Linked DNA regions of Oryctolagus cuniculus. The protein of the gene in region 2 purifies or fractionates together with the protein of the main gene of each other region. This does not show direct contact. Links are inferred from orthologs where the notes say so. Each region holds a gene or a part of one and is shown on either strand. Other genes may lie near its edges.

The links.
Region 1: the proteins of PPP6C (region 2) and ANKRD44 purify together in Homo sapiens (affinity purification with mass spectrometry; 5 studies listed by BioGRID and IntAct, counting the BioPlex papers as one, with this or other methods). This does not show direct contact. The link is inferred for Oryctolagus cuniculus from reciprocal best matches to the Homo sapiens genes PPP6C and ANKRD44.
Region 3: the proteins of PPP6C (region 2) and TIPRL purify together in Homo sapiens (co-immunoprecipitation; 4 studies listed by BioGRID and IntAct, with this or other methods). This does not show direct contact. The link is inferred for Oryctolagus cuniculus from reciprocal best matches to the Homo sapiens genes PPP6C and TIPRL.
Region 4: the proteins of PPP6C (region 2) and MAP3K7 purify together in Homo sapiens (affinity purification with western blotting; 3 studies listed by BioGRID and IntAct, with this or other methods). This does not show direct contact. The link is inferred for Oryctolagus cuniculus from reciprocal best matches to the Homo sapiens genes PPP6C and MAP3K7.
Region 5: the proteins of PPP6C (region 2) and ARHGEF2 purify together in Homo sapiens (affinity purification with mass spectrometry; 4 studies listed by BioGRID and IntAct, with this or other methods). This does not show direct contact. The link is inferred for Oryctolagus cuniculus from reciprocal best matches to the Homo sapiens genes PPP6C and ARHGEF2.
Region 6: the proteins of PPP6C (region 2) and PPP6R3 purify together in Homo sapiens (affinity purification with mass spectrometry; 10 studies listed by BioGRID and IntAct, with this or other methods). This does not show direct contact. The link is inferred for Oryctolagus cuniculus from reciprocal best matches to the Homo sapiens genes PPP6C and PPP6R3.
Region 7: the proteins of PPP6C (region 2) and PPP6R2 purify together in Homo sapiens (affinity purification with mass spectrometry; 9 studies listed by BioGRID and IntAct, counting the BioPlex papers as one, with this or other methods). This does not show direct contact. The link is inferred for Oryctolagus cuniculus from reciprocal best matches to the Homo sapiens genes PPP6C and PPP6R2.

Annotation. Positions count from the first base shown.
Region 1 is NC_091434.1:43,289,597-43,293,096, reverse strand, and holds part of ANKRD44 (serine/threonine-protein phosphatase 6 regulatory ankyrin repeat subunit B), read right to left. Parts: intron 2,139-3,500; coding exon 1,993-2,138; intron 1,527-1,992; coding exon 1,444-1,526; intron 1-1,443. UniProt on the Homo sapiens protein: Putative regulatory subunit of protein phosphatase 6 (PP6) that may be involved in the recognition of phosphoprotein substrates.
Region 2 is NC_091432.1:229,001,644-229,005,644, forward strand, and holds the start of PPP6C (serine/threonine-protein phosphatase 6 catalytic subunit), read right to left. Parts: upstream 2,801-4,001; 5' UTR 2,583-2,800; coding exon 2,508-2,582; intron 2,437-2,507; exon of another isoform or gene 1,864-2,436; intron 1-1,863.
Region 3 is NC_091438.1:30,559,425-30,562,924, forward strand, and holds part of TIPRL (TIP41-like protein), read right to left. Parts: intron 1,120-3,500; coding exon 940-1,119; intron 1-939. UniProt on the Homo sapiens protein: May be a allosteric regulator of serine/threonine-protein phosphatase 2A (PP2A). Isoform 1 inhibits catalytic activity of the PP2A(D) core complex in vitro. The PP2A(C):TIPRL complex does not show phosphatase activity.
Region 4 is NC_091436.1:81,926,401-81,929,900, reverse strand, and holds part of MAP3K7 (mitogen-activated protein kinase kinase kinase 7), read right to left. Parts: intron 3,443-3,500; coding exon 3,314-3,442; intron 1,108-3,313; coding exon 977-1,107; intron 1-976. UniProt on the Homo sapiens protein: Serine/threonine kinase which acts as an essential component of the MAP kinase signal transduction pathway. Plays an important role in the cascades of cellular responses evoked by changes in the environment.
Region 5 is NC_091438.1:42,686,948-42,691,079, reverse strand, and holds the start of ARHGEF2 (rho guanine nucleotide exchange factor 2), read right to left. Parts: upstream 2,801-4,132; 5' UTR 2,661-2,800; intron 1-2,660. UniProt on the Homo sapiens protein: Activates Rho-GTPases by promoting the exchange of GDP for GTP.
Region 6 is NC_091432.1:4,119,791-4,124,062, forward strand, and holds the start of PPP6R3 (serine/threonine-protein phosphatase 6 regulatory subunit 3), read right to left. Parts: upstream 2,801-4,272; 5' UTR 2,667-2,800; intron 2,604-2,666; exon of another isoform or gene 2,461-2,603; intron 1-2,460.
Region 7 is NC_091442.1:123,276,733-123,280,818, reverse strand, and holds the start of PPP6R2 (serine/threonine-protein phosphatase 6 regulatory subunit 2), read right to left. Parts: upstream 2,801-4,086; 5' UTR 2,564-2,800; intron 1-2,563. UniProt on the Homo sapiens protein: Regulatory subunit of protein phosphatase 6 (PP6). May function as a scaffolding PP6 subunit. Involved in the PP6-mediated dephosphorylation of NFKBIE opposing its degradation in response to TNF-alpha.

The DNA.
Region 1 (3,500 bases), on a different chromosome or scaffold from region 2:
TGGAGGATGGCTCAAGTATGTGGGCCCCTGCACCCACATGAGAAACCTAGACGGAGGAAGCACCAGGTTCCTGGCTTCGGTCTGATCCAGCCTCAGCTGTTCCAGCCATTTGGGGAGTGAACCAGAGAATGGAAGTTCTCCTCCCCACCCACCCTCCCTCTCTGTGTCACTCTGCCCTTCAAATAATAACAAAATAAATATTGAAAAAAAAATACAGGGGTCTGTGCTGTGGCACAGCAGGTAAAGCTGCCACCTGTAGTGCCAGCATCCCTTATGGGTGCTGGTTGAGTCCCAGCTGCTCCACTTCCGATCCAGCTCTCTGGCCTGGGAAGGCAGTAGAAGATGGTTCAAGTCCTTGGGCCCCTGCACCTGCATGGGAAACCAGAAGCTTCTGGCTATTGGCTTTGGATAGGCACAGCTCCAGCTGTTGCAGCCAACTGGGGAGTGAACCAGTGGATGGAAGACCTCTCTCTCTCTCTCTCTGCCTCTCCTTCTCTCTCTGTATAATTCTGACTTTCAAATAAATAAATAAATCTTAAAAAATATATAGATCTTTCATCCACTGGCTTACTCTCTAAATGGCTATAATAGCCAGGTCTGGGCCAGGCTGAAGCCAGGAGCCATGAACTCCACCTGAGTCTTCCACATGGGTGGCAGAGGCCCAGGTATTTGGCCATCTTCCATTGCCTTCCCATGTGCATTAACAGGAAGCTGGATCAGAAGTGGTGCAGCCAGGACTCTGAAAATAGTATTCTGATACGGTATGCTGGTGTTCTAAGTGGCAGCTTAACCTGCTGGCCACAACACTGGCCCCTATATTTCAGAAGTCATAGAATTAAAGTCTTAACCTACTCTGTGGTTCACAACCAAGGAGACGGATCCAGTGGCAGCATCAAAACAGACTGTGGTGAGTAAGCGGCAAATGCTATGGAAAGCTTGTGCTCATCATTCAGGATGACACAGCACATTCTCATCAGCCGAGCGTGTCTGCCCTCCCCATTCCACTTACACCTGAAAACACCCTGGGGAAACATGCTTCCTAAAAGGCAGAATTCTAGTGCCATCATTATTATTCTAATTATTTTTACAATGCCAAGTAACAGTGCTGGGCATGTGGTACAGCAGTTAAGATGCCACTTGGGATACCCACATCCCACACTGCAGTGCCTGGCTTCAAATCCTCTCTGTGCTCAGATTCCTGCTTCCTGCTGATGCACACTCTCAGAAGCAACAGGTGATGGCTAAGTAGTTGGGTCCCCATCAGACATAAGGGAGAGCAACACTGAGTTCCCGGCTCTCAGCTGTTGTGGGCCTTTGGGGAGTGAACCAGTAGGTGGGAGAGCTCTGCCTATCTGTCTCCCTGTTTTTCAAATGAAATAAATAAATATTTTAAAATTAATTTTAAAACCCCTTAGTAACAGTATTTTAAATTCATTTACATACTTTACTACTAGCCAAATGTAAGGGTGTATTCAAGTCCTTATCCTTTATGGTCAGATCAGCCTGGGCACTGTTCACCAAAATATCTATAGAAAAAGCCAAAAGAGGGTTATTTAGATTAGATGCTAATCACATACATTTTCAACAAGTTATTACAAAAATGACATTTCTATTAGTACAGTTCCCATTTGATGTTTTGAAAGAAAAAAAGGAACAATTTATTGCTATATTTGTTCTATCTCCAATATCAACAGGCATTACTTTTATTTTACAGCTTTCCATTAAGACCAGTTAGATGATTCTGCTCTTTTACCAGGTTGCTAAATGCTGAGAAATGCCACTGCACAAAGGTTGGCTCACGCTGGCAAGGTCCGCTAATGATCAAGTCACAGGGAACTGAAAATGCCTAAGCACATAGTTAGGTGGCCTAACTGAAACTGTTTGTGGCCCCTTTTCACACGTGCACACCAAGAACACGACTGATTTTTCAAATTCCCATTATTTTCGTTTGGGGAAAAGCACGAGTATGAAGTCCACATGACAAGCACATACCCACGGCGCCCGCCTGTCCGTTCTCAGCAGCCATCATCAGCGCCGTTTTCCCTGAATTGTCTACTGCATTCACTTGAGCGTTGTGTCTCAAAAGAAGCTGCAGGCACTCCACGTGGTCAGCAAAGGCTGCTGCATGGAGGGGTGTCCTCAAGAGTTCAAGCAAACACGATTTTAGTCCCTTACACTTTACCCTGTATTTGATCAATGCCTGAGAAACACACGCACGGTGGTGTCTTCAGGAGTTAAAACGTCTCAGTTCACGGGGACACTGATCAGGGTAGACTCTGAAGTGTCACCTATGCAAATGGCAGTCCCTAGATTAGGGGAGGGGTGTATGCAGGGGCCCTGTTAATGAGATTAGCATCTTTGGTTTCCCTTTAATCTTGAGACCCAGTGAGTTCATTTTCATCTTTGAGATAGATATTTGCAAAACTAAGTCTTCACATTGTAGGTAATTGGCTGATTGAGTACAAATTTTTAAGAGTCTATGTCATCTAATGTGGGTGGCTGATTTCTCTGGAAGGACAATTTGGCATTATTTGTCAAAATTAAAACCTTATTGGGGGGCCAGTGCTGTGGCTTAGTGGGTAAAGCCGCCGCCTGCAGTGCTGGCATCCCATATGGGTGCTGGTTCAAGTTCTAGCTGCTCGACTTCTGATCCAGCTCTCTGCTGTGGCCTGGGAAAGCAGTAGAAGATGGCCCAAGTCCATGGGCCCCTTCACCTACATGAGAGACCCAGAAGCTCCTGGCTCCTGGCCTTGGATTGGCTCAGCTCCAGCTGTTGTGGCCATCGAGGAATGAACCAGAGGATGGAAGACCTCTCTCTCTCTTGCTCTGCCTCTGCCTCTCTGTAACTTTGCCTTTCAAATAAATAAATAAATCTTTAAAAAAAACTTATTGGAGCTGGCCTAGTGGCACAGCAGGTTAAGCTACCACTTGTGACACCTGTAACCCATAGAAGTTACACCCATGTGGGAGACTCGGGTGAAGTTCCTGGCTCCTAGCTTCCAACTGGCCCAGACCTGGCTGTTGAAGCCAGGCAGTGAACTAGTGGATAGAAGCTATCTCTTTCTCTCTCTCTCTCTGTTTCTTCCTCTCTCTCTCTCTGTTACTCTGCCTTTCAAATAAATAAAGTCTTTAAAAAGACATACAATTTAAAAATACTGATCTTTTAGCCTAGGACATTATTTTCAGATATACTTGGTCATACGTACAGACATGTGTATGAGAATGTTCATTAAACTACTCTGAAATAGCAAAATATTGGAGACAATCTAAATGTTTTTCAAAAGAGGACAGGCAAAGTAAAACCTAGTAAGCCAGATAATGAAATAACGTAGTTTTAGAAGGAATACACTAGGGGTGGCTTTTGGTATAGCAGTTAAGATACAACATCTGCTTTTGATATAGCTTCCTGCTAATGTGTACCCTGGGAGGACAGCAGGAGATACCCTAAGTAAGTAGGGCCCTGACACCATGTGGGAGACCCAGATTGAGTTCTGGGTTCC
Region 2 (4,001 bases):
CTTGAAAAAAAAATTTTCTAAAAATTCAGACAACCTTCAAGTTATAGACTCTCTCCTCCAAAAGTACTTACATATTCAGCAAACTAGACTTTTAGTATATGTGCTGCCAAAGCGAGCACCAAACTAGACTTTTATCACTCCTTCTTTCACTTAGCAACTTATGAAATCTAAACCATCTATTGAGCTCTGTTGTCCACTCACTCTCAGGTACTTTATTCTTATTCCCTCAAAACAGGCAGATTCGACCTGGTACTAGTATTTTGACCATTTCAAATTCAGTTATAAAGAACTTGTTATCACACCTGAACATCCTATGTATTTATTATTTAATGTTGCACCTCTAACTTCTAATAAACTTAAAATACAAATAAAAATTTACTTTCCTTTCTACCCAAACAAGTCTCTTCCATCATGTTCATTAAGTGGCCCCAATTAATTCTTTCCATCCTCTAACAGAATATTTTCTACTGACTTGAAAGCATCAAAGGTGCTCCTAGAGTATTTTTTGGTCTGCCTATTTTTAGTTTGTACTTCATGCCAAGAAAAAGAAACATAAATTAAATTTCTTTAAATACTCTGGAGGTGCCGGCGCCGCGGCTCACTAGGTTAATCCTCCGCCTTGCGGCACCGGCACACCGGGTTCTAGTCCCAGTTGGGGTGCCGGATTCTGTCCCGGTTGCCCCCCTTCCAGGCCAGCTCTCTGCATGGCCCGGGAGTGCAGTGGAGGATGGCCCAAGTGCTTGGGCCCTGCACCCGCACGGGAGACCAGGAAAAGCACCTGGCTCCTGGCTTCGGATCAGCGTGATGCGCCGGCCACAGCGCACCAGCCGTGGCGGCCATTGGAGGGTTGGAGGGTGAACCAACGGCAAAAGGAAGACCTTTCTCTCTGTCTCTCTCTCTCACTGTCCACTCTGCCTGTCAAAAAAAAAAAAAGAAAGAAAAAAAAAATTTTCCAAAACAGAAGTCTCTAACAGAGAAAAATCCAGAATTTAAGTAGTTGCTCAGAAGATATAAAGTTTATTAAGAATCAGATGCAAATAAATACAGTCCAACTATGTTTCAACAGGAAATAAAATGGTTTAATAATTACTTCCTTCAGATAACGTTTAGCAGACTAAGAGATCTAAAGAAAATCCAACTGTTTTTCAAGTAATTTGTGTCCCACCTCAAGGTAATATCAAGACATATTTTCTGAAACTGAAATCACAAAGTACAAAACGGCTTTAAACATAACAAATGAAAACAGAATTCCACATCGATTCATTAACATGCAATGAATTCACCAAAAAGATGAACAATGCTACCAGCAGAGGCCTGGCCAGTTCTCCATGAACGGGTTCCCAATGCTGGCTACACAGCACGCGTCTGAAGCACTGGGAGCAGAAACACTACACTACCATTAATAAAAGCTGTCCTTAGTGAAGCTATCCTATTAAAAATGGGGGGGGGGGGGACGAGAGTGATTATCCCAGCATAAGCACATACAATTCATTTATATTCACATCAGGCCAGGGAACCTGAAAAATTTTGCATACTTGTTGAGTGAGGTTAAATATCAACTTCCGGTACCAAAGGATATAGCAAAAACACAAACACGGTCACATCTACTTTTGTAACTTTACAACCCACGGCTTAATGAAAGCATGAAAAGCACTCGAACCGTTTACAGCTTACCCACTTAGCACAGAGCCCATCAAAGTTAACAGAACAAATGAGACACCGGCACTAGCGGGTAACCGCTGCTGGAAACCCAAGCACTGGTTTCAACAAAGCACAGAAACGCTTTTCCAAAATTATCCGACCCCGACTCCTGCACCCACACACACAATCCCACCACTCGGGCAATAACAAGCAAAAAGTCACCTTCTTCCAAAAAGCCAAGAAGTGGGTTTCGGGGGCACGACTTCCAGGCGAGCAAGCTACTGGTATCTGCACACTTTACCCAACACCGCCACAGACCGGGATTCCCAGCTGAATTGGCACGAGAGCCAGCACGCCCAAGGAGCAATGTGGAGCGGCGTACGGAGGGACACGACGTCCTCTTACTCCGCTCGGGCCCCGCCGCCCCGCCGGACCTCAGCGACCCCGGGAGCCGGCCACCCGCGCTCCTGTCACCTCCGGGGAGCACCACCCGCTGGGGCTCGACTCCGGCTCCGGGGCTCGGCGCTGCGGCTGGGGAAGAGCGGGGTCTTCCCGGCGAAGCTGTAACGGCTCCGCGTCCAGGGGCAGCCCGCAGGCCAGGAGGGGCGACCCCGGAGGAGAGCCCGCGACAGCCCTCGGGATCCCCGGCGGGGGAAGCCAGGACAGCATCCGGGCACTCGGGCTCTCCCGTCTCCCCGCGTGACGCCGAGCCCGAGGGTCGCCTCCCACCGCGGAGGGCTCTCCACCGCGACAGGACTGGACACCCGGCAGGGGTCCCGCGGAGAGAGGAAGGGCGGACCGGCGGGCGCCCCACAGCCGGAAGGGGCGAGCCCCGCAAGCGGCACTCCCGCCCCGGCCGGGCTCACCTTCAGGTCGTTTTCTGGCAGGTACTTGCACAGCCGCGCTATCTCCACATACTTGTCCAGGTCTAGCGGCGCCATTTTAGGAGGAACAAGCCGCGGCGGCGGCGGCGGCGGCGGCGACGGTACTAGCGGCGGCAGCGGCGGAGGCCGAAGCCGGAACTCTCCCTACGTCACGTCCGGCCCGTGAGTGGCGTCTGCGCAGCGACGTTAAAGCTTGACCGGATTCTCCGCGCCGCCCCCGCACGTCCCGCGCCCTCGCTGACTGATCCCAGGCTGCAGCCCGAAGAGGTCCCCTCAATTCCGCCCGCGAAACCTGCTGGGACCCGTAGTTGCCTGCCGCGGGGGTTGCTGGGATTTGTAGTTTTCAGTTGGAGCCGGCTTCTCTTTTTCCTCCTCTTCCCGGTACTTCACCCCTGGAGACCCGGCAAGGCTTATCGGAGGCAAAACGGCGAAGTAGGTGACCTGAGCGTTCTGTGGCTTCTCGTTGCGACCCTTTTAGGCCCTCTCTCAACAGGACATCCTCAGTTAGAAATTGGGTAAGCCTGCCCGTAGTAGCCTGGTTGCGCCTTTCCAAGGTTTTGCAAAAACCTCGGTTAAACCTGTGGCGGAGAAGCCGAACTCCCAGTCGTCTGGTCTTGAGGATGAGAAAGGAAATGTCAAAGCGTTTCTTGTACCGGATGCCGCAAGGGTTCTTTTATTCTGTGTTTTCTTCCCCGCCCCACTCCCCTTCCCCCATTAATTCTCATGATTGCTGGGAAGGTAAGGCTTGGAGACCCTACGTAACTTGCCCCACATGTCACCGGAAACGAACGGTAGAGTCAACATTGGAAAACAGGTCAGCTGGCTTAAGCAGACCTCCGTGGGAGTCCCACGAGGGAGGGAGTTTAATGTTGTGTCCCCAACCGAGTAAGATCACCTGGCACTGAGTAGGCCTTCAGCATTCATTGAGGCATTCGTCATTCCGCAGCTGTTTACCAAACACCAGCCATGGGCCAGGTACAACTGCAGGCGCTTGGGATACGCAGTCAACACAGTAGACAAAGACGGGCGTCCACAGCCTGTGGTTGACAGCTAGGACGGGAAGACACCACGCTGCCATCAATGCATAGCGTTTGAGAAAGTGACGTGTGCTAGGGGAACAACGCGGCAGAGTAAGGACATGAACTTTGAAAGCCATCTAAGAAGTGGGGGAGTTGCCCATGCAGCTACCTGAGGGATATGATAGGGAGGAGCTGGTGCGGAGGCCCTGAGGTGGACGCCTATCTAAAGTCTTCGGGAAACAGCAAGATTTGTGTGGTTGGAGCAGAAGTGAGAGGAGTAGGAGAGATCAGAGAGAAAAGGAGAAGAATACTGTGTTTTTTTGTTTTGTTTTTTAAGGATTTATTTATTTGAAAGTCACAGTCACACACAGAAGGAGAGAGAGAGACAGTGAGAGAGGTCTTCCATCTGCTGGTTCACTCCCCTAATCAGCCACAATGGCTGGAGCTGCTCTGATCC
Region 3 (3,500 bases), on a different chromosome or scaffold from region 2:
CAGGACTAGAACCCAGTGCCCATAGGGGATGCTGGCGCCACAGGCAGAAGATTAACCAAGTGAGCCATGGTGCCGGCCCCGCTATTTAACTTCTCGTGTCCTGATGTAGTCTTTTTATTTTTTTGACAGGCAGAGTGGACAGTGAGAGAGACAGAGAGAAAGGTCTTCCTTTGCCATTGGTTCACCCTCCAATGGCTGCCGCGGCCGGCGCACCGCGCTGATCCGATGGCAGGAGCCAGGAGCCAGGAGCCAGGAGCTTTTCCTGGTCTCCCATGGGGTGCAGGGTCCAAGCACCTGGGCCATCCTCCACTGCACTCCCTGGCCACAGCAGAGAGCTGGCCTGGAAGAGGGGCAACCGGGACAGAATCCGGCGCCCCGACCGGGACTAGAACCCAGTGTGCCAGCGCCGCTAGGCGGAGGATTAGCCTAGTGAGCCGCGGCGCCGGCCGATGTAGTCTTTCAAAGGAGTCTGTACACTGCCTGAGAACATGATTTAAAGCTTTATATTTCTTTGTATTCTACAAGGTACCTAGTACATAGTAGGCACAAAGAATTGCTGATTGGATTTTCGAAGAACATACACTTCTTTTTTTACTTTCAGTGTTCCACAAACATTCAATGTAAATCGTAAGACTGTGTTTTTCTTTAAAAACAAGAACATTAAAGTATAGTGTACTGACTCTTGACCAAGGAACACTGAAGGCTTAAAAGTAAATCCTATATATCTCAGTACAGTTGTAGTCCAATTTAACTCAACAAATATTCAAGTAGTGAGATAATTAACTTCCACATTATGGCTGAGAAAAATGAATTCTAGAATAACCCAACTACAAATTTAATAACATTAGCCTTTCATTTTAATAAGATACACATAGAGCCTTAGTAAATATTCCTTTTAACTCTTCTTTTGGTTTAACCCGTAACTGCCCAGGCTCTCACCTGCTTTCCTGCCACTCTTCAGCACAGGCTACTTTAAGCATGCCTTGGTAGTTGTTCACACATCTTAACGCATCTGTAGCATTGAACTCAATCCCAAAGCCAGAACCATGCTGGATCCTTAAAACGTTGTCTCCAAACATCATTTCGGGGAGAGACGGCATGTGCAATTCATCGGCTAACCTATACACAACCAAAAGTCAGGTGAGATTATTTTATGTCACTGTTGGCACTTTTCTCACCTTTTTATCCCAACAGAATTCTTCCCACATTACTGAGTTAAATGAGATGAGTTAATAAACATGATATATTTGTAGTCTATAAAATGCTTTCAACATCCGATCTTTCATAATCAGATCTATAGGGTCCTGTATTAGAGAGTGGGCTAAATAAGACAGACAATACACAGATACATATTATAATGATAGTGGTAAGTGCTATGTGAAAAAATGAAGCAAGGTAACTGCGTCAAAACAAAGCCAGAAGGCTGGAGCTTCTTCCGGGTCTCCTACATGGGTGCAGGGGCCCAAGGACTGGGGCTATCTTCCACTGCTTTCCCACGTACATTAGCAGGGAGCTGGAATGGAAATGGAGCAGCCAGGACTCAAACTGGTGCCCATATGGGATGCCAGCACCACAGGCAGTGGCTTTACCCAATATGCCAGTGTCAGCCACAGGCAGGGACAGGGGCAGGGGGGGATACTATTTTAGGTAAGAAGATCAGAAATCACTTCTGAGACAGCAAAATTCAAGCATCAAAATACCCTATGATAGGACAGGCTATGTGTCACAGTGGGTGAAGTGCCCTTGCAATGCCAGCAATCCATTTCGGAGCCCCAGTTCAAGTTCTGGTTGCTTCACTTCCAATCCAGCTCTCTGCTAATATGCCTGGGAAAGAAACAGATGATGGCCCAAGTGCTTGGGCTCCTGCACCATGTGGGATACCTGTAAAGTTCTAGGTTCCTGGTTTCTGCCTGCTCCAGCCTCATCCATTGCAGCCATTTGGGGAGTAAACCAGCAGATGGAAGACCTCTCTCTCATTCTGTCTCTCAAATAAAATAAATCAAACTTAAAAAAAAAAAAAAAAAAAGACAAGGACTTTAAAAGCATGCTACAGGCCGGCGCCGTGGCTCAATAGGCTAATCCTCCACCTTGCGGCGCCGGCACACCGGGTTCTAGTCCCGGTTGGGGCGCCAGATTCTGTCCCGGTTGCCCCTCTTCCAGGCCAGCTCTCTGCTATGGCCAGGGAGTGCAGTGGAGGATGGCCCAAGTGCTTGGGCCCTGCACCCCATGGGAGACCAGGAAAAGCACCTGGATCCTGGCTCCTGCCATCGGATCAGCGCGGTGCGCCGGCTGCAGCGGCGGCCATTGGAGGGTGAACCAACGGCAAAAGGAAGACCTTTCTCTCTCTGTCTCTCTCACTGTCCACTCTGCCTGTCAAAAATAAAAAAAAAATAAAAAATAAAAAAAAAAAAAAAAAAAGCATGCTACAAAAACAAACACAGAGAACTGCACTGTGGCACTGATGGGTAAGCCTTTGCCTGGAGTGCCAGCATCCCATATAGTACCAGTTCAAGTCCCAGCTCTGTTACTTCCAATCCAGGTCCCTGCTAATGTTCCTGGGAGAGCTGCAGAAGATAGTCCAGGGGCTTGACCCCTGCACTAGCATGGGAGACCTGGGAAAAGCTCCTGGCTTCTTCCTGGCCCAGCCCTGACTGTTGTGGCCATTTAGGGAGTGAACCAGCAGACAGAATCAATTTCTCTCTCTCCCTCCTTCTCTATTTCTGCCTTTCAAATAAATAAATAAATCTAAAAAAAAAAAATACCATACTCAAACAAAATATTCTGTGAGCTAAGAAAGGGTCAGAATATTTGCATGGCTAACTCAAGATTATGGAACCAGTAACTGCTAACACCAGGTCTCTTTCCAATATACTAGACAGCTTTATATATACTGGGACCTCATTTAGCCAGTCTTATTAAAGAAAGTTATATGAGACATACTAAAAAGCCAAGACCACAAATTAGTAATCCACAGATGTGTTTTTATTGGCCTGTACAATATGTTTAATTTTTTAGTATTTAAAACTGTGGGTTTTTTATAATCTAGGCTTCCAGTTTCTCTTAAAAAAAAAAAAAAAAAAAACAGGACTGCAGCAGTGTGGCACAGTGGGTTATACTACCATCTGCAGCACCATCATCCCATTTGGGCACCAGTTCAAGTCCCGGCTGCTCTACTTCCGCCTGGGAAAGCAGCAGAAGATGGCCCAAGTGCTTGAGCCCCTGTACCCACATGGGAGACCCAGATGGAACTCCTGGCTCCAGCCTGGCCCAGTCCTGGCTGTTGCAGCAATTTGGGGAGTGAACCAGAGGATGGAAGACCTCTCTGTCCTTCTGTCTCTGCCTCTCTGTAACTCTGCCTTTCCAATAAACAAATAAATCTTTAAAAAATTTTTAAAAAGACCCAGCAACATTAGACTTGCACTGCACTGCCATGCACCATCAATTGGCAACAGTTGAGTAGAGATTGCCCCCCTTTAAGTGGGGCTGGGACTCTCCAGTTC
Region 4 (3,500 bases), on a different chromosome or scaffold from region 2:
CAGGTCCTTGGGCCCTGCACCCGCATGGGAGACCAGGAGGAAGCACCTGGCTCCTGGCTTCGGATCGGTGCAGCGTGCCGGCCGTAGTGGCCATTTTGGGGGGTGGACCAACAGAAAAGGAAGACCTTTCTCTCTGTCTCTCTCTCTCACTGTCTAACTCTGCCTGTCAAAAAAAAAAAAAAAAAGTAATCTCTGGGTATTAATTAAGGAAATCACTTGGTCTATATTTAAGGAAATTGCAAGGTTGTTCTACTGATCAAATTGCTCTGAATTTCAGGTACTTTCATTTTAAAGTAACATTTTAAAGCAAACATTCTATTTGGTTGTTTTCTTAGTCTACCAAAATCTAGAAGTCTAAACTATTTCAAATGATTCTAATGTATTTGATTTGTAGACTAGGAAAATTAAAATATTCTATAAATCCTAGAAGAAAGGTTAACTTAAAAAATTTTTTTTAGCTATAAAAACCTTTTCAGGTTTTCATATACAACAAAAATACAAATAGTAAAACATAATCACTCAAATGTATTTGGGAATGCAACCTCTCCCTCTACTGTCCTGTATAACTAAATAAATGACTGACTAATACTGAATGTCTGATGATATATATCAGAAAATTTTAAATTTCCTTCATTGGGTGTGAAAGTCATAATATACCCAAGTCCTGCGAAGGCTTAACAGATCATCTAATTCAGCTTCTCTCACATTACAGATGAGACAACGGAAACACATGTCCACTAATGTAAGCAGTATGAAAAGGTATAACCAGAAACCTAGCCTAAACATCTTCCCATTACAAGGAACTAGACTACTCCCCCTTCATACTCCAAATGGGTCTTCTGATTATATGAGTAATGAAAACCCAAAAATAGAAAGAAGAAAATGGTTACAATGTCTCCTTTACTCTAAGCCCTACTCAAACTCAGTATACATTAAATTTCCCTAAATTCAAAGCCCCTCAAAAGAAGGATTATACCCGCATCAAGTGAGTCATTATTTTCACAATTTCCTCCATGGAAGGGCGCTGAGAAGGGTCTTTAGACCAACAACGAGTCATCAGGCTCTCAATGGGCTTAGGTAAATTTTTGATCAGTGGTGGTCGAGTACCTATAATTAAAAATGAGAGAAGGAGGGAAAGCAATGTATTTACCCAAAGAATGGAGCAAGTTCTTTATTTGTATTCCCAAAGCAGTGTTTATTTTATAGATTTTGTAATTTAAAAACTATATTTTGGAGTAAAAAAAGGACTTATTTTTGTCCTATAAGTTAACATTTATTTTATGTATATTTTCCTAAAGGGAAAACATCTTTAAAAAAGTTAAATTAAAACTTGTACATCGGGGCCAGTGCTGTGACTCAGTAGGTTAAGCCTCCGCCTGCAGCACCAGCATCCAATATGGGTGTTGGTTCTAGTCCTGGCTGCTCCTCTTCCAATCCAGCTCTCTGCTGTGGTCTGGGAAAGCAGTAGAAGATGGCCAAGTCCTTGGCCCCTGAACCCACGTGGGAGACCAGGAAGAAGCTCCTGGCTCCTGGCTTCAGATGGCTGCAGTTGTGGCCGTTGCAGCCAATTAGGGAGAGAACCAGTGGATGGAAGACCATGCTCTCTGTCTCTCTCTTTCTCACTGTCTATAACTCTCTCAAATAAATAAATAAAATCTTTAAAAAAAAAAAAACTTGTACAATATAGAACAGTAAGATTGAGAAGTAACAATATTTGTTATGCTCTTTTAACAACAACAACAACAAAAAATGGCGTAATGTGTGAGATCTGGATGGAGTTCCTGGTTCCTGGCTTCAGCCTGGCCTAGCCCCAGCTATTGCAGCTATGTGGGGAGTGAACCAGTGGATGGAAGATCTCAATCTTTCTCCCTTTCTGTCATTCTTTGAAATAAACAAATCAATAAATCTTTAAAAGAAAATTCAAATGGTGGTTTGAAGAAACATTACCTAAATTTCAAAAATTTCAAAATGTGTTTGAAAACTTATCTTTTATATCAAAAAGTTGGTCAACTACAGTAGTATACTTGCTGACTTCCAAATGACTCTTTTGAGACCTTATGGTTGCTGTGAATCAATCATTTCAAGGCTCAAAATTCCAACTTTTTGTCCTACACCTGTGTAAAATTATTAGTAAGGTCCCACTTAACATAGGCCTCAAATACGAAGTTTTGGTAATTTTATGAAGTAACAAGTTAGTTCTTCTACTCCTTATTTCATTGCCATTCAATCATTCACTGCCAGCTGACAGAGAGAACAAACTGTCTTGGTCAATGATCTAGCATTCCCTACCATGACCCTGACAGCAGTAACACTGCAAGTGGTACAGAAAACTGATAAAAACAGCTAAAATTGTTCTGATGATCTTCTATGAATGACCTGAATAGTTAGGCAGACATTTGTGTTTATTACTTACGGAACAGTAAATATAAATGTTACAAATCAAAATGATTACATTCGAATGAAAGAAATGAAGAACAAGGCTAATGCTTACTAAGGTTAAGTAACTGTCCTTCATGAAGAGTTTATTTTCCCAAAGCAAATGTGGAATAACTATTAATGAAGAGGATCATGCTAACATCATATGGGGTTAGAAATAAATACCTAAGTGCTTAGAAATATCATTACTAGAGATATGCAGGAATAAGAATAGTGAGTCCCTCAGTCAATATGTCTGAAAAATACAGCAACTGAGTCAGAAAGATCTAGATTTGCATCCCATCTCTGCCACTTACTAATCCTGAGACCATGGCGAGTTATTTGTGTCTCTTTTTCCTGTAAAATGAGACAACCGAATTTACCTCCTCAGGCTGTGTGAGACTATAGAGAGAGGGTATGTAAAGCATTCTGTTTTGCTTTCATGAGCTTAACCAACAACTCTTATCATTATTTGTTGCTTTTTCTCCTTACTGAGACTCTGCTTCCTCAGGAGAAAAAGGCTGTAACTTTCCAATTATCTGAACTACATTAGATTTTATTTATGTATTTAATTTTTCAGAGAGCCTAGTATGATCCTTCTCTATGCTCAAGAGAGACAGAGATTTGGCACTGGTTGTGTTCTGATGGCCTTTCTCTAATATGCACAAGTAGCACATTCTCAGCCCTGTATGGAGGCCAGGGAAATCCCCAAATCTGCCCTACTAGACTCAGGGGCTGGGGATTGATAATAGAAATATAGTTTGATAACAAAGAATTTTAGTTTTTAAGGTTAGGGATAATTTTTTTCCTTATTTTGGGAGAGGGGATGGAGATAAGACAGAAACAATCTTCCAAATATGAAATACAAAGTACATTAAAAAAATTTCTTTTTACGAACCATTATGAACAGCCCACATGATTCGGAAAGCCGGCCCACCAATTTCATCAAAAGGTTTCCGACGTGTTATCACTTCCCAAAGGATAATGCCCCAGCTGAAGACGTCACATTTTTCACTGTAATTGCTACCTAGAAAAAGAAGGCAATATAATCTCAAGACTCTCTTCCACACGATATACAGAAACAA
Region 5 (4,132 bases), on a different chromosome or scaffold from region 2:
TTTCTCAAATAAATAAAATCTTTTTTAAAAAATTAAAAAACTTTGTGTCTATAAATAAAGGGTTTTTTTGGAACAAAGCCTTACTCATTCATTTACATATTGTCTTGGGCTGTTTTTGCCTTAGCAGCAAAGCTGGTAGTCGCGACAGGGACCGTATGGCCTGCAAAGCCCAAGATATTTATTATCTGGGTCTTTACCAAAAAAGTTGGCAGGCTCCTGGTCTAGAGCCACTGGGTCTCCAAATCTCAGTGGGGAGGAGAGAGACATCAAGCCTTGCGTTCCCAACAGAGCATTCTGCAGCCAGTGTCGGGGAGGCGGGCACACGGAAGCCCCAGCAGGAGTGGGCATGTGGCCTAGTGCTCAGGCTGTCCATAGCCCCTGTCAGAGTGCCAGCTCCGCTCCCGATCCCTGGCTCCCGCTTCTGCACGTCTTGGAAGGCGGCACACAATGGCTCAAGTGATTGAGTCCCTGCCACCCGCAGGAGACCTGGATTGAGTTCCTGGCTCCCAGCTTTGCCCTGGCCTAGCCCTGGCCATAGTGGACATCTGGTGAATAAACCAGAAGATGGAAACTCTCTGTGTGTCTCTCCTCTCCATCTCTCTCTGTGTAACTCTTTCAAATAAGTAAATCTTAAAAAAAAAAAAAAAGGAAGCAGCTTCCAAAAGAAATTAGATGGAGGTTCCAAAGAAGTTAAATTTGTCCATTCTACTCCCTCTGTTGTCTTAGAAATCTGAAGGAGGTATGGGGCAGGCAGGGCCCTCGGTTATGTTTGCTGCCAGCAACTACTGAGGCTAGGAACTGCAGATAGCAACCAAACAGCGGGCTGGCCCCGCGGCAACACTGCCGGCTCCTTAGCAGCCTGAGGGGCTTCCTGCAACTGTGTCTCGTGTCCACCCCGTGTCCCGTGTCCTGTGCTGGATCCTAAACCTCCTGAGGGTGGGCAACAATGGAGAAGACCCATAAGCCCTGGGCGGCAAGGCCGAGGCCAGCTGACGTGTGTGCTGGCTTCTCCTCCGGGGCTCCTGGCCCTGGTAGCACAGGGTCACAGGAAAGCCTTTGATGGTTCAACGTTTAACCTCCCGTAGCTTCTCCCCTGGGAAGTGAACCATTAATCCGAAGAGAGCTAACACTGAGCTTCTCTTGGCCTCAGCAAAGAAGGCCCTTGGGGGCCCCGTGCCTGCACGCTCCTGCTCACAGGACAGCTCCGTGCACGGCAGCAGCGCCTGAGCTTCTGCCACCTCCCGCCACCCCCACCCCCACCCCCACCCCCGCCAGCTGGAACGCCGGGGTCCTGGAACCCATTCTCTTCTCTGACATGCAGGTCTATGACAAGAAGGCAAAGGCTCCCCTCTGGGACCCATTCATTCAGCAAACATCACTTCAGCATCTCCCAAGTATGAGGCAGAAGAAAGAGGAACCAGAGGTTCTACATGCAAATCCAGGCAGGGGCCAGTGCAGGCGAAAGCCGCTTCCCACATCAGCTTCTGGGTTGAAAGCCATCCACCTGCTCCCAGGGCAGCTACCAAGTTTACTATCAGTTCTCAATTCTGGGTGTTCCACATGGGACAGGCAGTCAGCATCTCCAGCCCCCTAACCCAACCACACCCTGTCTAGGAAGTCAGCAATCAGGCATCTCAAACATCCACCCTAAATCACCCCCACCTCGATGATAAAATCAACCGGCCTCACACGTCAGCCAGGAATTTTTGTTGCCTTGGGCTTCCAAGTCTGATTACCTGCTTTTTGTTTTGTTTTGCTTTGTTTTGGTTATTAAACTAAACCCAGGGACTCTGTCCTGTTCCTTTCAGCAGGACCTGTAGCTGTCTGCCGATTGTACCGGGGCTCGGGACCAGCCTAGCCCGTACTACATGGGGGACAGGGAAGAAGGAGGGCCGGGCCAACCACTCCTCTCGAACCTCCTGCCGGTTTCTTGGCATGAGTTCTGGCTGCTGTGCCAGAGGGTGGGGCAAGAGGGCCTGAGGTTCAAGGGACACACCTGAGAAGACTTTGGCCACCTTAGCCCAAGCATTAACCTGTTAGCTCCCAGAAAATAGCAAGGCAGTGGGCGGAGCAGAGAACCCCCAGTCTGGTGGATGACAATCTGTAAGGCCCTAGCTCTCAGGTGTGAGCTGGTGGCTCTTTATATTCCCCAGTTAGCCCCCAGGGATCAAAGGAACCCACGACAGGATAAGAGGAAGGAAGCCCTGGGAGAATTAGGATGTCAGGCTTTCAAGATTCCAGAGACATCCTTAGTGTCTACACCTCCTGTGTGGGAAAACAAGACCAAAAAGAACATAATGGACTTTGCTATGCCATGAACTTGAATCTGAACCCCAGGCCTACAACTTTTAACTGACACAGTTAGTTATTTAACTTCTCTAAGCCATACATTTACTATAAGGATTCTGGTATGTCAACCCCATAGGATTATGAGGATAAAGAATGAATGTGTATAAAGGGTTTAGCATCATTTGCCAAACAAGCTGTGTTAATTAACCACTGGCCATGGCTGTGGTTCCCTATTTACACAGTGTGTACACACACACACACACACCCTAAGCAAACAAGGCAGCTGGGAGCAGCAGGCTGAGTGGAGAAGAGGGGCTCCTGAAGACACCTGCTCCCGGGGAAGACCCGGCACAGAGAGGAAGGCAACTCACCGGACCCGGGAGAAGTCCCGAAGATGGGGCACCTGTTCCTGCCCTCAGGTGGGGACCTCACTACAGGGACAAGTCCTGTTTCCAGTGGTCCCTTTAAGATTCCAGTCCAGCACCTTGATGGGGGGGCCTCTTTCTTGGTCCTGTGAAGGGAGCTGCTCATGGTCCAGGAGTTTGCATGGGAGACAGGGCACTCATTCCAGCGCAGACCAGTGGCCTCTTCAGCTCCGCTAGCCCTTCCCTTCCCCGCCCTACTTCAAACACCCTGGACAGTGCTGTGCACGGGCCTTTAACCCCTTCAGTGCCAGCGCTCCAGCCTCAGCAGGCCCCGAACAAAGGATGGCCACAGGCTCTGGGAGGCTCGTCCCAGGGAAACAGGTGCAGGAAGCCAAAGTGGGGTCATCCTGAGGGCAGGGAATGTGGGAAGCTGACATCCCAGGGCACTTGCCCCTTCCCTGCAGCAGGGACCAGGGAGAAGCTGGGGCGGGGAGGAGGCCTCTTGGGGAGAGTCCGGGGATGGAAGGCTAACCGGCCAGGTCCTCATGGGGTTAGCAAAGTCCTTTATCCGCTCTCAAATTCAGCTTCAAAGCTGCTTGTTGGTCCCTTTAAGAGGCAGGTTCCAGCAGGACAGGAGGAAAGATTTTTTTTTTTTTTGCGTGTGATGAAAGTTCAGGGAGGAGCCACTGAGGGCAGCTACAGCTGACCAGGCCTGGCCTCGCCTACAGGAACTGGAGTGACCAAGCAACTCCGCACGGCTTGTTGTGGATACAGTCGGTCGGCCTGCAGGGTATTTGACCAACTGCCTCCCCCCACTTCCCTGATAGCAGCTCCCCAGGGTGGGGGCGCTGACTCACCCTCCCTGCTCCCCCCAGGCAGAGGACAGCCAGCGGGGCGAGGTAACTGGTAACAGGAGCCCTCCTCTGCCGGCCAGTGATGTAGTGGAAGGTGCGCGCTGGAGCTGGCAGGTCCTGGCTGGCTCTGCCGACTCACGGGTTACGGGGCCTTGGAGGAGTTAGTCTCCTTCCCACCTCTGTTAGAGCCCGGGTCTCATGTAAGCTCATGTAGATGGTGGCGCAGGAATGCCAGCCCATGGTAGCCGGCATTGAATACACAGGCTGCAGCTTGTGGGGTTAGCTCGAAGAAACCATTCCGCCCTGTCCCTCGGCTCGGTTACACGAGATTAAACTAGGTGATCCTCGGTGGATCATTGCTCTCCAATTCGCATTCCAGGTGAGAGGAAGAGGGCAGCTGCCGCCAGGTGCGCGACCACCGTGTGTAGCCTTTCCTAGCTGGCCGGGCCCATGCTTCTCACTTCCTAAGAACACAGGGAGACGCCTGCCCACCCTGCTGGGGCGGGGCAAGTGGGGCAGGGCGGGGGCGGGGGCCGGGGGCCGGGGAGGGGGGGGACTCTGAAATCCTCCAGTGAAACAAGCTCACCACGGGCCAGGCTCTCCAAGTGGGAGTCATTTATCTGC
Region 6 (4,272 bases), about 220 Mb from region 2:
AGGATCTGGGTGCAAAGGCAGAGCTCACAAATCACCCAAAGGACCCCCAGCTACAACTGTCCCTGAAATCTAACATCCTGAACAGTGGTCCCAAACCCGAGAAGCACAGCAATTTGTCTGGGAAGTTTTTAAAAGTGGATTCTCACCCCCACCACAAACCACCAGAGCTGAGGCCCAGCACCATGGTCGTCTTTAAAAGGATAAGACTGATTCGTTTATGTCCTCTGAAAGGAAGAGAGACAGAGGGGACGAGCAGGACCGCGACATCAATCTGTCTTCTGGTTCATTCCCCAAATGCCCACAAGAATGGGGCTGGGCCAGGCCACCGCCACCAACTCCATCCGGGCCGCCCATGAGGATGGCAGAGGCCGTCCCAGGCACATCACCACAACTGCCGAGCAGCCAGGACCCGAACCAACGGATACGGCTGCCGGCATGCCAACAGCAGCTTAACCCACTGCACCACAATGCTCACGCACCCACGGCCTCCACGTCCCGCGGGATTCTAACACAGGCCAGTCCACCACCACCTAGAGCAGGGTGCATCGGCCTCAGCCCCACTGCTGTTCGCGCTGGGTGACTGTCCTGCGCGGTGTCCCGGGCCTCTGCCTTCCAAACACACAGCACCCACCCCCGAGGCTGGCAAGCGTCTCCCAACGCTGCCCAACGCTTCCCGGGGTAGAATCACCCCAAGTTGAGAATCCCTGATCTATAATTAAAAACAACCATTTGAGGTTTTCTTAAGAACAGGAAGAAGCGTGAAAGCTGCCTAAGTCAGTCCAAGAAGCCCCACTGGGCTCAGATCCTGACTTAGTGCTCCCCGTGAAGCACCCCGAGGCTGGGTTCCCGCTGAGCAGTCAAAGACCGCCATTACTGTCGCTTACTCTGACGTGCAGGAAACACTGTAAAAACTGTCAGTCAACACATGCTCGGGCTGATATCTGAAATTCAAAACCACAAGACAAGCTCATGACGGAATGCCAAGCCTGGCCAATGCTGTTTCAGGAATGCTTACTTGTAATAAAGACACTATCTCTGTACCAAACACGCAAAAATTTATCTTGAAGAAACCAAACACGCCTCACCCGTCAAGTCTTCATCTACACATCCAGCTGTGGCCTGACTCTAATTCCCAGTCAAAACCCGAAAGATGTTTCTGTTTATTTGTCTGGCTTCTTGTACTCTGCACAAAGCTCGAGTCTCCTTCCGGTCTGAGTAAGCCACAGCAGCCTGATGCCGGTCCCCACGGGGGCCTCCACAGGATCAGAATCCACTTCCCGGGCCAGCACAGGCACCGGGGGCGGGGGGGCAGCGGAGGCCTGGGCGACTGGCCGCCGCCGCCGCACTCCGCTCCCAGCTGCACCCAGACGGGAGGGCCCTGGGGTGCACCCACACCCCACCAGGGGCGCCTCAGAACCCCGCGCAACACTCCAGGAAGGACCCCAAAGGTACACGAGGCAGAGTCCCAGGAAAGCGCTGGGCGGCCCTCTGCGTGTAGCCCCCTCCTGGAACACCAGCCCTGGCTCCAGCCCCCGGATCTAATCCCACGAAGCTCCATCAGCCCCCTTCCAAAAAAAAAAAAAAAAAAAAACACAAAACTACAACTTCCACTCATTTCCGACCCCAGCTGACTCTAAACTACAAAGCAGGCCGGGCCGAAACGCTCGTCCGACTCCCACCGGGGCCTGCGCGCGTCCCAGGCCCGGCCCGGCCCGGCCGCCCCGCGCACAGGTGCCCCGGGACCACGCAAGGTCACGGCGCCGGCGAGCCGCAGCCTCGCGGGGCAACCGCGAGCCTCGGGCCGCGCGCTGCCCATCAGCAACGTGACCTTGAGGGCAGAAAAAGTAAACTCCACCCCGGCCAGGCGGGAGCGGCCCCGAGCGCGTCCCCCGGTGCCCCGCACTCGCCCGGACACCTGCGACTCCGCCCGCGCCCCCTCGGCGGGCAGCACCTGCGCGGCGGCCGCGGACGCGCGCCTCCCGGACGGGGGTCCTCGCGGCCCCGGCCCCCAGGAAGGCCACGGGAGCGCGGCGGCCGGCTTCGGGGCGCGTCCCGACGACTCCGCGCCCGGCGGGGCGAAGCCCACCAAACTTGCTTCCCGGAGGACAGAGTCCAACAATGGCCCGCGCTCGCCCGCGGCTCCCCGGGACACGCGGCGGGGGCGGCCGGGGCGACGCGGGCGGGAAGCCGGAGCCCCGCAGGGGCGCGCCAGGCCGCGGGCACCCGCGCCGCGCCGAGCTCGCCGCCCGGGCCGCGGCTGACAGGAGCGGGCGGGCAGCGGCGCGGCAGGGCTCGGCGCCGCGCCTCCCGGGCCGCCGAGCGGCGAATTCCGGGGGGGAGGGGAGAGGGGCCGGACGCTCCCGCCCCGCGCCGAGACCCCGGCGAGGCGCCCCTCGCCCGCCCGCGCGCCCCGCCGCCCCCGCGCCGCGGCCCGCCCCGAGGCCTCCCCACCCCCATTACCTGGAGGCGCCCACGACCCGCCGCTAGTTGCGCTCAGGCGGGAAACGCGCTCACCGACACCATCAGCGAAGCGCCCAAAATGGCGGACGTATCAAGCAGGCCTTGAGTGCCCCCCGCCCTCCCTCCGGCCGCCTCGCAGCCAATCGCGGCCCAGCCCCCGCCCCCAGCTCCACCCTCATTGGCCTCCCTCTCCCGCCCCCTTCAACCTATTGGATCGCCCAGCGGCTCCCTTGCCTCCCCTTCGATTGGCTCGCAGGCCTCGTCAGTCAAACGCGAGGGGTACATTCTTTTTCCCATGGACTTGACGGATCCGGAACCTCTAGGACCCTGGAGTCGCAGAAACAAATCAGGAACCGGGAGAAACTTGGCTCGGTCCAGCCCCCTACGCCGTAGCAACAGCAGGGCCTCTGCTTGACGGACGCCTCGGACCACCAATCTGAGCGGCCAATGTCTCTTGAAACTAACTTGAGCCAAACCAATCGCGGCTGTGGAGCCTGAGCCGCGAGCGAACCAATGGGGGAGCGAGACGGGCGGGTAGGCGGGGCCGAGGGGACCGGTGATGACGTGAGTCACAATACGCGCCGGCGCCGGAAGCCGTGCGGGGCCGGGGAATTAGCTCAAGTGGTAGAGCGCTCGCTTAGCATGTGAGAGGTAGCGGGATCGATGCCCGCATTCTCCACTGCCAACTTTTACGGCGGGGATTACCTGTCGCGTGCACTTCGCCGCCGTCACGTGGCCGCCCCGGGCGCGGGGGTCAAGGCCAGGGTCGCCGAGTGCCCCCGGCCCTGTGGGGCCCTCCCCAGCGCGAGCGGCGAGAGAGGCCGCGCGGGCCCCTCCCTTTTTCCACAGGGGAGGGCCTCCCCGCGAGCTGACCTCCGCGCCGCCCCCCGGGGACCCCAGGCCCGCGACTCCGAGGACGGCCCTGGGGGGCTCCTCCCGGACCAGGCTGCGGCGCGGGGCGCGGACAGCCCCCCCAGGTGCCCGCCCAGGTGTGGGCCGCCTGGACCCCGTGCGGAGAAGCGTCCTCAAGGCCTGGCGGCCCTGGCTGGGGGGCTGGGCCCTCGTAGACCCCGCGGGGCGCTGGCCTCCCCGCAGCCGCGGTCACCCGCGTGGACTCCGGCAGGGCGGAAAGCCGGGTCGCGGTGAGGGCGGGCACACACAGGCAGGTGACCTGGGCGGGGCAGGGCCGAGCGCACCCTCCCCCCCCCCCACGCCCTGGGAGGACAGGGTGGGGCCGGCACAGGTCTGGGGTGGGGGGACACACCGGAGGCCTTGGAAGTCGGCCAGAGGCACCTACCTGGGGCTTGGGCTCCGCCCGTGGGAGCCAGGGCGGTGCAGGGCAGGTTGGAGCAGGAGCCGCCCAGGGCCGGAGGGGCAGGCCTGGACCGAGGGGGCCGAAGGCTGCCAGGGGCCTGCCGGGGGCGGGGGCCAGCCCAGGGGGAGGATTGGGGGGGGCAGCCCAGGGGGAGCAGGCTGCAGGGGGGGAGGACTGGGGGGACAGCCCAGGGGGAGGACTGTGAGGGGGCAGCCCAGGGGGAGGATTGTGGAGGGGTCCAGCCCAGGGGGAGGACTGTGGGGGGGGCAGCCCAGGGGGAGGATCGTGGCGGGGAGCAGGCTGCGAGGGGCGGGGGCCAGCCCAGGGGGAGGACTGTGGGGGGGGAGGCCCAGCCCAGGGGGAGGACTGTGAGGGGGCAGCCCAGGGGGAGGATTGTGGAGGGGTCCAGCCCAGGGGGAGGACTGGGGGGGCAGCCCAGGGGGAGGATTGTGGAGGGGTCCAGCCCAGGGGGAGGACTACAGGGGGGTGGGGGGAGC
Region 7 (4,086 bases), on a different chromosome or scaffold from region 2:
TCCATCTGATGGTTCACTCCCCAAAAGGCTGCAACGGCCGGAGCTGAGCTGATCTGGAGCCAGGAGCCTTTTCTGGGTCTCCCAGTGGGTGCAGGGGAGCCGAGCACTTCGGCCGTCTTCTGCAGTTTTTTCAGGCCATAGCAGAGAGTTGGATCGAAGAGGAGCAGTCAGGACTGGAAGCGGTGCCCATACGAGATGCTGGCACTGGAGGTAATGGCTTTACCTGCTACACCACAGCACCAGCCCCATGAATCTTTTTTTTTTTTTTTAAGATGTATTTATTTACTTGAGAGGCAGAGTTACAGACAGAGAGAGGGAGAGACAGAGAGAGAGGTCTTCCATCTGCTGGTTCACTCCCCAAATGGCCACAATGGCCACAGCTGAGCCAATCCAAAGCCAGGAGCCAGGCTCTTCCTCCGGTCTGCCATCCAAGTGCAGGGACCTAGGCACTGGGCCGTCTTCTACTGCTTTCCCAGGCCATCAGCAGGGAGCTGAATCAGAAGTGATGCAGCTGGGACCTGAACCAGCGCCCACATGGGATGCCAGTGCCACAGGCAGATGCTCAACGTACTACACCCATAAATCTTACACACACGGAAAGTGGTGAACAGCTGAGAGATGAGAGATGGCAGGACCCGAGAGGCATGTCAAGCCTGTCAGAGAGAAGCCATGGGGGAGGTTGGGGCAGACTGGGAAAGAACAACAAGCTGGCGCCGGCGCCGCGGCTCACTAGGCTAATCCTCCACCTTGCGGCGCCGGCACACTGAGTTCTAGTCCCGGTCGGGGCGCCGGATTCTGTCCCGGTTGCCCCTCTTCCAGGCCAGCTCTCTGCTGTGGCCAGGGAGTGCAGTGGAGGATGGCCCAGGTGCTTGGGCCCTACACCCCATGGGAGACCAGGAGAAGCACCTGGCTCCTGCCATCGGATCAGCGCGGTGCGCCGGCCGCAGCGCGCTGGCTGTGGCGGCCATTGGAGGGTGAACCAATGGCAAAGGAAGACCTTTCTCTCTGTCTCTCTCTCACTGTCCACTCTGCCTGTCAAAAAATAAAAAAAATAAAAAAAAAGAATAACAAGCTGGCAAAGGGCTTAAGGACAATTGGGAAGCGGAGATTTTGCAGTGAGAAGTGGCAGCGCCACTGAGGGGAAGGATCTCACTGACAGGCAGCGGAGGAACAGTGTGGGGACCACTGACAGGCGGGGTCTCCAACAGGAGCACGGGGTGTGGACAGGAAGGTCACAGAGGAGGGAGGGGGCACCAAGGTGGGGGTGAGCACTGACATCAGGGGTCCTCCCATCTGACCGGGTCGGGGGTAGGCTCTGAGCGACCCAGGGACCCTGACAGGCAGGGATGGCAGGCACTTCTAGGCCAGCACAGTCACTGCTGAGGAGGGCGCTGACCACGGGGAAGCCAACAGAGATCACAGACAGGGGAGGGAACTGCTGCAGACGAGGTCAAGGGGTCACCAAGGCTCACACACAGGCTGGCTGATAGGGCACTGACTGACAGGGCGCTGATAGGGATGCTGACTAACAGGAGGCACTGACTGACGGGGGCACTGACTGACAGGGCGCTGATAGGGATGCTGACTAACAGGAGGCACTGACTGACGGGGGCACTGACTGACAGGAGCACTGACTGACAGGGGGCACTAGCTGACGGCACTGACTGACGGGGGCACTGACTAACAGGAGGCACTGACTGACGGGGGCACTGACTGACAGGAGCACTGACTGACGGGGGCACTGACTGACAGGAGCACTGACAGGGGGCACTAGCTGACAGGTGGCGCTGATTGATGGGGGGCACTAGCTGACAGGGTGCTGACAGGACGCTGACAGGGCACTGACTGACAGGAGCACTGACTGACGGGGGCACTAGCTGACAGGGGGCACTGACAGGAGCACTGACTGACAGGAGCACTGACTGACAGGTGGTGCTGACAGAAGGCATTAGCTGACAGGGCGCTGACTGACAGGGCGCTGACTGACAGGGCACTGACTGACAGGGCACTGATTGACAGGGCGCTGACTGACGGGGGGCACTAGCTGACGGGGGCACTGACAGGGCGCTGACTGACAGGTGGCGCTGACTGACAGGAGCACTGACTGACGGGGGGCACTAGCTGACAGGGGGCACTGACGGACAGGCGGCACTGACAGGGCACTGACTGACAGGGCGCTGACTGACAGGAGCACTGACTGACGGGGGGCACTAGCTGACAGGGGGCACTGACGGACAGGCGGCACTGACAGGGCACTGACTGACAGGGCGCTGACTGACAGGAGCACTGACTGACGGGGGGCACTAGCTGACAGGGGGCACTGACGGACAGGCGGCACTGACAGGGCACTGACTGACAGGGCGCTGACTGACAGGAGCACTGACGGACAGGGGGCACTAGCTGACAGGGGGCGCTGGCTGACAGGGGGCGCTGGCTGACTGACAGGCGGCGCTGTCAGGCGGTCGGGACGTTGACTGGCAGGAGGCACTGACGGACAGGGGGCGCTGTCTGCCTGACGGGAGCCGCTGCCTGTCCTTCCCGCCGGCCGGGCGGCCACACTCACCTGCCCCGCGGGCCGGGCGTCGCGGCGGCTGCTCGGAGGCCCGAGTGGAGGCCAGGGCGCGGGCGGCGGCGAAGCCCGGGTGGCCTCGGGCGCGCCGCACCCACATGGGCCTGGCCAGGGGCTCGGCGCCTTCCGACACGGGCGCGGCCGGCCGGCGGCTCGGCACCGCCAGGGACCCGCTCGGGGCCGCGGGCAGCCCACGGCTCTCCGCAAGATGGCGGCCGCGGCGGCGCGGGCGCGCGCGCGCTCTCCGGGCGCGGGGGCGCGCGCGCTCGCGACCGGGGCGGGGCCGGAGCCCCCGGGCGGCCCCGGGGCGGGATGCTCGCGGTGACGTTTTGCTGGACCGCGCCAGCGCGGAACGGCGCCGCCGGGTGTCTGCATCCCGTCTCCTGCCGCACCCCGAGCTTCGCACGTTCGGTCCGTGCGGGTTTAACATGCGTGGGAGAGAGGGGTGTCCGTCCGCCCCTTCCCCCGAGAGCGCGCTCCCGCGGCCGACAGGGCGCCGGCCCGCCCCCCACCCTCTGCGCCCCTCCCCTCCGGGCCGGCCACCTCCCTCGGAGGCCCCCACCTCCCCGCGGCACCTGTTCCCGCGGCCAACGGCTTCCGCTTGTCACCTCCCACCATCCGAGGGAAAGGGTTATGGCGAGCTGTGTCCAAGGAAAATCCTGGGAGGGGTGCGAAGACCTGAGCCTCAGGGCCAAGAGGACCCCCGCCCTCGGGCCGTGTCCACCCCCCCACCGAGACCACCCTCTCTCAGGCCTGTCCCCCCCATGACCGCCCTCACTCAGGTCCCGTGTCCCCCGTGACTGCCCTAGCTCAGAGCCGAGCCCCCCGTGACTGCCCCTCTCTCAGGCCTGTCCCCCATGACCGCCCTCACCCGATCCCATGTCCACCCACCCGGAACCGCCCTCACTCAGAGCCGTGTCCCCCCCCCATGACCGCCATCAGGCCTGTGCCCCATGACCATCCTCATGCGATCCCGTGTCCCCCATGACCACCCTCACTCAGAGCCGTGTCCCCCATGACCACCCTCACCTGATCCCGTGTCCCCTGTGACTGCCCTAACCCGATCCTGTGTCCCCCATGACTGCCCTAGCTCAGAGCTGAGCCCCCCGTGACTGCCCCTCTCTCAGGCCTGTCCCCCATGACCACCTTCACCTGATCCCGTGTCCCCCGTGACCACCCTCACTCAGAGCCGTGTCCCCTGTGACTGCCCTCACCTGATCCCGTGTCCCCCATGACGGCCCTAGCTCAGAGCCGAGCCCCCCGTGACTGCCCCTCTCTCAGGCCTGTCCCCCATGACCACCTTCACCTGATCCCGTGTCCCCCGTGACCACCCTCACTCAGAGCCGTGTCCCCCATGACCGCCCTCACTCAGATCCCGTGTCCCCCGTGACTGCCCTAGCTCAGAGCCGAGCCCCCATGACCGCCCTCACTCAGGCCTGTCTCCCATGACCGCCCTCACCCGATCCCATGTCCACCCACCTGGGACCGCCCTCACTCAGAGCCGTGTCCCCCCGTGA